Linked DNA regions of Saccharomyces cerevisiae S288C. The protein of the gene in region 2 purifies or fractionates together with the protein of the main gene of each other region. This does not show direct contact. Each region holds a gene or a part of one and is shown on either strand. Other genes may lie near its edges. The genes, in order: NAB6 and HEK2.

What was found.
Region 1: the proteins of HEK2 (region 2) and NAB6 purify together in Saccharomyces cerevisiae (affinity purification with mass spectrometry, with the first as the bait; 2 studies listed by BioGRID). This does not show direct contact.

The regions. Positions count from the first base shown.
Region 1 is NC_001145.3:32,471-38,420, reverse strand, and holds NAB6 (Nab6p), read right to left. Parts: upstream 4,179-5,950; coding exon 774-4,178; downstream 1-773. Other genes in the region: ATR1 (borate transporter), read right to left, coding at 1-225; NGL3 (3'-5' poly(A) RNA exonuclease), read right to left, coding at 4,570-5,950. UniProt on the Saccharomyces cerevisiae protein: RNA-binding protein that associates with mRNAs encoding cell wall proteins.
Region 2 is NC_001134.8:158,282-162,018, reverse strand, and holds HEK2 (Hek2p), read right to left. Parts: upstream 1,836-3,737; coding exon 690-1,835; downstream 1-689. Other genes in the region: SHE1 (She1p), read right to left, coding at 1-320; RIB1 (GTP cyclohydrolase II), read left to right, coding at 2,326-3,363; STU1 (Stu1p), read left to right, coding at 3,630-3,737. UniProt on the Saccharomyces cerevisiae protein: RNA-binding protein involved in the correct localization of transcripts in the cell. RNA localization is a widespread mechanism for achieving localized protein synthesis.

The DNA.
Region 1 (5,950 bases), on a different chromosome or scaffold from region 2:
GCATGTGAATATAAAAAGATATTCTTGCCATGCATATTTAAAATAGTTTGGGTTCTGCCATTTCTGATTGCTATCTACCATTTCATCTTCAGACTGCGTAAAAGCTGTTGCTGTTAAAGATTCTCCGATATTATTATCTCGTGACGATTTTTTAACAGGTAGTTCTGTCTCATTCTCATACTCACCCTTACTTTCCGTAAGCACAACTAATGACTGATTGCCCATTATTATTACCTGTTTGAGATTCTCTAATTGCCTCTCTTTTTACAATCGTACACTTTGAAAATGTTGTTTTAAACTTAGAATATGCATTTTATTCATTTTATAAAAACGTCTCATTCTTCAGACGTTTATAAACAACTGTAATAGTGTCAACTTTTATATAAAGGTCATCTTACCTGAAAAGTGTAAGTTCTGAAGGTAGAGAAGAGGTCAAGGCAGACAGGATCCTGCGGCTTGACGTCGTCGCTAACGAAACGAAGTAGAAAAAAATTAACAGGTTTGAGTCAGAGAAAATTATCGTTCCACATTGGTGACTCGGTCATTAAGACAACAAGTGCCGGCAATAAATCGCTTACGTAATCTGTGGCAGAATGAACAGGTTAGGTGCATAATACCGCCATTCCATTAGTAATCACTATATTATTTAGTTTATACAAAGAAATCGGAGAAAAAAAGGGAGAAACACCTTGGCAGGCCGCCTTAGGCTTCCTTGGGCTTTGTCTAAATAGTCCGATGGATATGCATTATACTTCAGGCTCAGCACAGCTATACTACTCGTCAGGATGCGTGTTGTCTTCCGCAGAGGCGCCCAAAATATTGGCTGCATACATAAATGTCGAATGTTGCACTTGTGCAAGGTATTGGGCCATGACGTCAGATCCTGGTATCGTTCTATGCCTTGCAAAAGATCCTCTCTTCTTCTTTCTGTTATTTGCTGTTTCGCCATTTGTGAAAATATCTTGCATTGGCGTTTCGTTGTTCTTCGAGTGATTATATGACAAAGTTGAGGGAGCTCTTGGAGGAGCTTGTCTTAATGACGACCTATAATTGAGCTGTGACATTCCTACGGCTTCTTCCTCGTCTTCTATCTTTACTGGTCTCTTACTATTAATGACGGTCTGACTCGAGCTTCTTAGAGTTTGTGATTTTAAAGCGTATTCAGGATCGCTCGGGGAGTGCATAATGACCTCGACGTCTGATGACGAGTCGGAAGATCCCGATGACTTGTTAAATATATCTTCATAATCAGTTTCATCCGATGTCGCACGTTTGACGTCAGAGCTCGCCACAGCGAGACCCAGTCCACCGAAACTTCCAGTCTCATTACCGTTTTCATTTTCAGCCTCTAGTTCACTTTCATTTTCATGCCCAGTATTATTTGCAGTTCCTGTTTCACCACCGCCGTTGTCCTTATGTGCGTCCAGACTAATTCCTAGGGATTCCAAGTTCAAGGGTTTATCAAAAGCCTTTTCCTTTTCATCGATTTCATTCTGCCTCCTCTTTTCTTCCAACTTACTCAAACGTATATTATAGCTCGGTCTTTTAACTTTCTTATAGAATCTTGAATTTTTACCTGCTATCAAATTTTTGTTTATATTGCCACAACGATCTTTGCCGTAGTTTATCAGAAGGCCCTTATAACGGCCACCGAATTTTTCCTCAGTCGCCCTTTTAAGCGTCACTTCACCGGATTCATTTTGTACTGTGGATTCCTTATTCATTTCTTCAACAAGACTAATCGCAGAAGATATATTCATGAAATTTATCCAACAGCAATGGCTATCACTCAAATAGTTAATCTGCTCAATATCACCATAGGTACTAAAGTCCTCTCTTAGTTGTTCCGCATCTGGTAAAGATAGTGTTTCATGCAATTTTTTGTACTGAGGGTCGTGAATAAACTTTTCCTTAAATGCAAACTCTGGTAGGCTTACGTAGACATTCCTACTTGCCCCGATCGTAACAGCCAACGAGATTAATTTCGGTAATGGACCAGAATAATGCCCCCATCCAACTCTCAACATATTCCCATGTAACACTATTGGATCAATAAATGAATTTGCATAGAACTGTACAGCGGATGGAGCTTCGATGAAAGTAACAAAGCATATCTTCTTCTCCGGTATGTACTTAATGCTCTGAAGGATTCCTCCACGCACGACATTACAGATATCCTCCGCCTTTGATCTTGGATTAATGTTTCCTATATAAATTGTTCTATTGCCTATGTCTGAACCCATGGATGATGCCACTTTGGCCGAAACGTTGAAATTTTGCTCCAAACTTTGAGTTATTGGATTCGGCAACACCCTTTGATTCATTTGCAAATTGGGGGATACCGGAGAAGGTGTGGCTATTAACTGTTGAGGTATTATCGCTCCATTGGACTGATTAGAATCATTCATAAACATATGTTCATTTAATGGCAAAGGTGATGGGATATCTTGAGAAAATTGCCTAGAGTTTTCTGTTGTCTTTGAAATTTTGACATTGCTCAAGTGAGTAGAGTGTTCTTCAATAGTTGGTGTTTGATAGTCGCGATAGTTGATTTCTAAATAAGTCCCATCAAGTTCTACCCCTTGAAGTTTCGTCGCAAGCATATCAATCTCTTCATTTAAAGATACAGATGATGACAGACTGGTTAAACTCATATTAGAGTGACCGTATACGGAAACACCAATACTACTATTATTATTGAGTGTGGTGATACCACTCATATTACTTTTATTATTGTTTCCGTTGTTGTTGCTATCGTTATTGTTCCCAGCAGTAACAGAAGGCACCGATAAACGATGTGTGCTCGTTTTACCCTCGTAAATATTAGCAACCGAAGATCTGGCTGAGCTAACTACCAACGGGGCTAGGGATACGTAAAAACATTTAGAAATGCCTAAGTTTTTGGAGTATTTTTTCAAATAATCGAGAACTTCAATAGCCATAGAGATATTCAAAAAGGTTAAAACGGCGTAATTTTCAGGAAATTGATTGGAAGGTACATCTGTGTTCACTAAATCGATAGATTCCAAAATGTATCTTTTGTTTTTTGACCTGTCCAAAAATTGTAATTTCTTTTTGAATAAATCGCTTTTCTCCACGGGGCTTTTGAATTCAATTATAATCGACCTTGTAGCATCTTTGTTCGCTATATTATGATGCAGCGAAGCACTGATCATTGTTGAACCATTGGTAATGTCGGCTTCTTCAGCGTTTTCTGTTAACGCTTCACTCTCAATAAAGGTAGGGAGGCATTTGGGATCATAGTTTAGACAAACAAATTTCAGATTTAGTGCTTCAGATTTCAAAAATGTTTTGAATTCAGATAACCTTTGTAAAATGTTATTGTAAAAGTTCAAACAGTCGCCTTTGGTTAGAAAGCTTATTAGAATGGATAGATTTTTAGTCTCTACATCTTTTGAATCATCGCTCTTCCCTCCTTCAATTAAGTAGGCACTTTCCAGAGTATTGGATTTGACAAAATTTTTGACTATAGAGTGTAAATCAATAGAATGATCCACATTTTCAATAAGCAGCGACCTAGTTCTATAAGCATCATCACCAGTCGGTAGAACCTTGTAATTAATACAAAAGGGTCTTTGTAAAAGCATTTCTGGAAGTATGTCGTCGAAAATGTTATTCCTTGCGAATGTTCTTCTTCCACTGTTGTTCCGGGTGTCGCACCCCTTATTGTTGTTGTGAGTAACATTCCTCGTACTGTTGTTGTTCCTCGAGAAAGAATTTCTCCCCATTCTATAATAGTTCGAGGGTGTTACCATTCCGTTATTAGTATTGTTTTGGTTACTGTTACTGTTTCCGTTGTAACCGTTATGATTAGAAACGGGCCTCGAATAAGCCTTTCTTTTGAGATTAGATGATCTTGCAGAATTATAGCCACTTTGCATGTTAGGCGAGGAAACAAATGGAGATCCCATCAATAGGTGAGATGGAAAAAGACTGGCACCGTATGCAGTATCAAAAGGTGTTGGTGGAATATTAGGTAATGGTGAGTTGGTGTAATATGCTGGGTGTTGAGAAGGACCATATTGGCCGGCACCGTTTACGAAATCAACAGGATGATACATCATTGGATTTCCCACCATGGCGTTCATCCCATTATAATCTTGCTGTTGACGGTATGCGTAATTCGCAACAGGTTTTTTTGAATTGGAATTTGACATATTGGAATCCTCAAAAAAAACAATAGAAAACGGATTCTTGCGAGTCTTGTTCGAGCCGATCAAAAACCCCTTCCTTGATAATATAAACGAACGACGTGAATGAGCCAACTACACCTCTTCAGTCTTTGGGATATCTTCTCTGGATGCTTTTCACGTAACCTGAAACAAGGAAAAAGGGCAGGTTTGTTGTGGTGTTTCTATGCTTGATTTTATTTTTTTTTTTTTAGCCCGTTGAGGCGCAACGAAAGGGGAAGGGTGACCAAAAATAGCACGTAAAAGCTGTGAATAAGGTGAAAGTGACGCTAAATTGAAAGAAAAATCCCAGTGACCATCGAAGCGTTGATTACTGTCTTTCAAACACAAATGTAGGTTGTTTATATATATTGTTTCTTTATTTTAAGCTATGCACTTTCTCCCCCCCAAAAAACAAGCGTATTTGGCACATTAGGGAAATGTGATCACTAGCATATTCTCCCTCGAAAGGTTGGGAGTGTTTGGGCATTTCTTGTGCGCACGGCATCCTCAGATATCCGATTATTTTTACGTTGTTATTTCCTTCAAAAGCATTCAGAGGCTCTTTCTGACGCGTGTCCTGATTATGATCACCCTCGATATAAAATATGTAGTCTAATAATCCACACCATGTATTGGCCCAGTTTGAGAGTCCCGGTTCGCCGTGGCTTCCGTTAGCATTTTCAGGATGCACTTTACCGTAGCCAATCCCATACAAAGATACGCCTTTCACATGTAGTGAATTATGCAACGCAACTAATTGATTTACCAGAGCCTTTTCTTCCTTTGTGGCTGTAAAGCTCTCTGGTTTTGGGTTTTGTGGTTGATCTGAATGGCCTTCGCCCCTAGACTTTTCATCACACTCTTCATCATCCTGGTCACTTTCTTCTCCATTCCTTTTTTTTGAATACCGATACGCTAGTGAGCATTCCACCATAGCTCTTATTGGGCCTTTTAATATCAGTGGTCTTTTCGTTATGGCCAAGTACGGTGGCTCTTCAGGTTCGGTATTGAAATCACCCATCAGTAGGCTATGCCAGCCATTATATTTGGAACATGCTTTAATTTCCTGGATCTTTTGTAAAACCAAGTAAGATTGCCTTAATCTTTCAAATACCCCAAAGGGATGCCAAAATAGGTGTGTATTTGCGACGATAATTCCTCTTGATGATGAATCTGTTATACCCTTGAAATATAGCGATATAATAAGGGCAATATTTTTAGTTCTTGTTCTTGCTGAAATGACATTTCCCGCCAATATATTATCGTAGTCCAGCATCCAATCATTATCTAACTGGAATTTTTTATTGTTCCATGCAACTAGTAGTCCATGAGTTTTCCCTTCATGCCTTTTGAAAATCACATCAAACCCTAACTTATGGAAATTCTCCTGCCAGAAGTTGAGTTCATTGTAATCGACCTCCTGCAACGATACTACATCAGGCCTGTACTTTTTCAATTCGTGGACCAAAACTTTTGATCTCTTATGCCACTTTAACGCTGGTCCACTTTCTGGGAAAAAATCTCTCCTAATCAAGGTTTGTGCTAGAGTATTATAGGTCATTATTTTAACGTCCAATGAATCTTGGGTGACTTGTATGGTCGCTGGCGTAAGACCTTTCGAATTATCATGGTTGATAGGGAGGAATGGTCTTTCAATGAATTGTAAGTCAGGCGTTGGGAAGTCAGGGTCCTTCCCTTGGGATATTAGAGAGTTCCTACGTACCTGTCTCTTCTGAGCACGTTCTTCTCTGATTTTC
Region 2 (3,737 bases):
GACTCCATCTGGCCAAATTGAGAGTCGTGCTTTGCTTGGAAGAACTCATTAATATTATACGAGCCCGATTTTGGTTCATTGTTCTTGTCGCCGTTGTATTGTTGTTCGGATTGATCTTTTAAAAATTCAAATTTTGAGCTAGCTCTAGAATCCAGTTCACTTAATACAGAATTTCCTAATCTTTTGGAAACGCCAATAGTCTCGATGATATTGCTATTGTTATTTGAATGAAAGTCTATACTCATATGCGGCGGCGTGAAACCATTAATTTGTGAAGTGGTGTCTTTTTCGTTATGCTCTTCTTGGAGTTTATCATTCATCCATGAAGATAATATGTGTTCTAGAGCTGTAATTGCATGTTTATTGTTTATTTGTTTATACCATTGCCTAGAAACTTACGATTTTTTCATGTTATTTTCCCCTTCCCTCTCTGTGCCTCTAGCCGGCGATGCGCGAAATGTTTAAAGCAAGAATTTCGATAGTAATAAAGAAAATACAACGGCTTTATTGAGTATTTATAAAACGTTTTTTTTTAATTCAAAATACATATACATGAATAAATATATACATATTGAATCATTTTTTTCCCTTTAATAAAAATACAGTTTAAACTAGTAATGATGCAACATTATTCGTTAAGATGATAGTTTGTTTTGTCTGTGTGGGACGTGCGCACGCACACGTATATACTACGACTGCTCCTCTTTGTTATCATGATTCTCTTGAGGTTCTTCCTTCTCTTCCAAGAAAGAAGCAGAATCAGAGCGTTCAGTAACAACAGTGGCATCTCCTTCGGCAGCTTCCAATTTTCTCTTGTAGTTTTCACGTTTCTCAATTTCAGTATTCAGGTTCTTCAAAAGCATGGACTCAGCAAGTTTGACATTCTTAGGAAATTTACTTGTGATTATGAATTTTCTAAAATTTTCGTCTTTATCATCGTCATCCTTCCTTTCCACGACAATATTGGTTTTTGTGAAAGTTTTCAAATTCTTAATTCTGTTCATTCCACGGCCAATAATGGCGCCTACATACAGTTCTGGAATCTTCAATTCGATCCTAGTGTTAGATGAGGTAGAAGGGGAAGTTGGCTCACCGGAGGACTTTTTCAGATGAGGGAAATAAGATCTTTCTGTGCTGAATCTGACGTCAACGTCACTCAAGATGATCTCGCTAATTTCGATAAGTACATTGGTGATGGATCCTGGGAAACCCTGGATCTCGATAATTCTCTCGTCGCTAGCAGGTAAGAAGTCCTTGGAAGCCACGATCTTAACGCCGTGCTTATTGATCAGGGACTTGATGGTGGCGCCTGCTTTCCCGATAATCGATGAGATATGGGAATTGGCCACAATGAGCCTCACATAACCGATGTCCTCCAGTTGCTGCAGATCTCTGATCTCGTCCTTTGAGGGAGCTGGTAAAATATGGTTCAAAAAGTGGAAGTAGTAGTGCTCTTCCGCTTCGCCCTCAGCTGCGTCCTCATTTTCGGGATTCCGTTTGTTAAGCACGTCAACAATATCACCAATGGCATTGGCCACATTGATTACGTTCCCAGCACAGGACAGGATCCTGTCAGAGCAACCGGGCACCTTTTCAGAAATACCGATCTTGACGGCGTTTGCAGCTCTTATGCGTGAGATGGTGGAGCCCTTAGTGCCAATGATCTTGGCAGCCTCTTTCAATGACAGCAAAAGCCTGTGATTGATGGTGGGTTGAGCGGTGGTGCCAACAACGGGGGCGCCGCCAGTGGCGGCGCTGCCGGCATCACTGGAGCCGCCGTTGGTATTGTTTGTGGGAATTGCAACGGGAGTAGCAGCTTCGAAGAACTGTGACATGGCTGGTATATATACTAATGCTGTCTCTAAGTTACCCGATAAGTTGATGCTTTGTTGTACAGGGGACGCGCGATAGGAGTGGGGAGCAATATGCTTTTACTTCGTATGCCAAGTAGTTATATATGCTCGGGTACTTATGCTCCAGATTATAGTCTTGTTTGTTGTTTGGCTGAGCGGCCGGACACACAGAAAAAAAACAAAAGGGCTTTCGTTAAAAGGGATAGGGTAATGTCTAGACTTAGCATAGGGCTAAAACAGAAATAGTAGGGTCTATACCGTTTTTGAAAACAAGTTGTGTAGGGTGAGACTTTTTCTTTTTCCTTTGAGTTTTTCTTTTTCTTTTTACGATTTGTCAGAAATTAGTCGGACGCTCTTGTGGGGTGAGCGCCAGCGCCGCTATAGTATATATAAAGAAGTTGCTGTGCTGGCGTGGACAATAATTGAGTCATTACAAAAAGTGGCGTACATAAAACTACAACAAACCTACAGGATGACCATAGATAACTACGACAACAGTAAACAGGATAGCAGCAAATACGAGGTTAGTGGTACGGGTGATGGCAGGAACGGCGATGGCGGCTTGCCTCTAGTACAATGTGTCGCAAGAGCTCGTATCCCAACCACACAGGGTCCGGATATCTTTTTACATCTTTACAGTAACAACAGGGACAACAAGGAACATCTAGCCATTGTGTTTGGTGAAGACATACGGTCGCGCTCGCTATTCCGTAGAAGACAGTGCGAGACGCAACAAGATAGAATGATCAGGGGCGCTTATATTGGCAAACTGTATCCCGGCAGAACTGTGGCAGACGAAGACGATAGACTCGGATTAGCTCTGGAGTTTGATGATAGTACAGGTGAGTTATTAGCTTCCAAAGCCACTACATGGGACGCCCATAACGACACGCTGGTACGGATCCATTCTGAATGTTACACCGGTGAAAACGCATGGAGCGCCCGTTGTGATTGTGGTGAACAATTCGATAGGGCCGGTAGGCTTATCGCTTGCGACCACGAACCCACAAGCAACATCAAAGGTGGAAACGGCCATGGTGTTATCGTGTATCTAAGACAAGAGGGTCGTGGCATCGGGTTAGGTGAGAAACTCAAGGCCTACAACCTGCAAGACTTAGGTGCTGACACAGTGCAGGCCAACTTAATGCTGAAACATCCCGTGGATGCTAGGGACTTCTCGCTGGGTAAGGCTATTTTGCTGGATCTTGGCATCGGTAATGTCAGGCTGCTGACAAATAACCCGGAAAAGATAAAACAGGTAGATCATGCGCCTTACCTTAAGTGCGTTGAACGAGTGCCTATGGTACCCATACACTGGACAAACTCCAGTGAAGGCATAGACTCCAAGGAGATAGAAGGTTATCTCAGGACCAAGATAGAAAGAATGGGTCATTTACTAACGGAGCCTCTGAAACTTCATACAAACCCTCAACCTACTGAGACAAGTGAAGCCCAAAACCAAAACCGTATGAACTCTGCGTTGTCATCAACATCGACGCTGGCAATATAAACACAAGTGTAGCATAATTATTAGTACATATAGTGCTTTTTTTGTAATGAAACGAAAATACCATGTTATTTTAATGCGTTACCCCGTCGGCGCGTATTGGCGCATTAACATCTTTATAGAAAATCAAATTATTTACTTATTTATTCTAAAACGCTAAACATCTATTTATTTACATTTGAGGTTGAAACTTCCCTTCATCCGATTGACAGGCATATTTAGCGGTAATTATTAGGGTTTTTGGAGAGACCTTGTATTCTTCAGAAATAATGTCGTCCTTCAACAATGAGACCAATAATAACAGCAACACTAATACACATCCAGACGATTCCTTCCCTTTGTATACCGTATTCAAGGACGAGTCTGTACCCATCGAG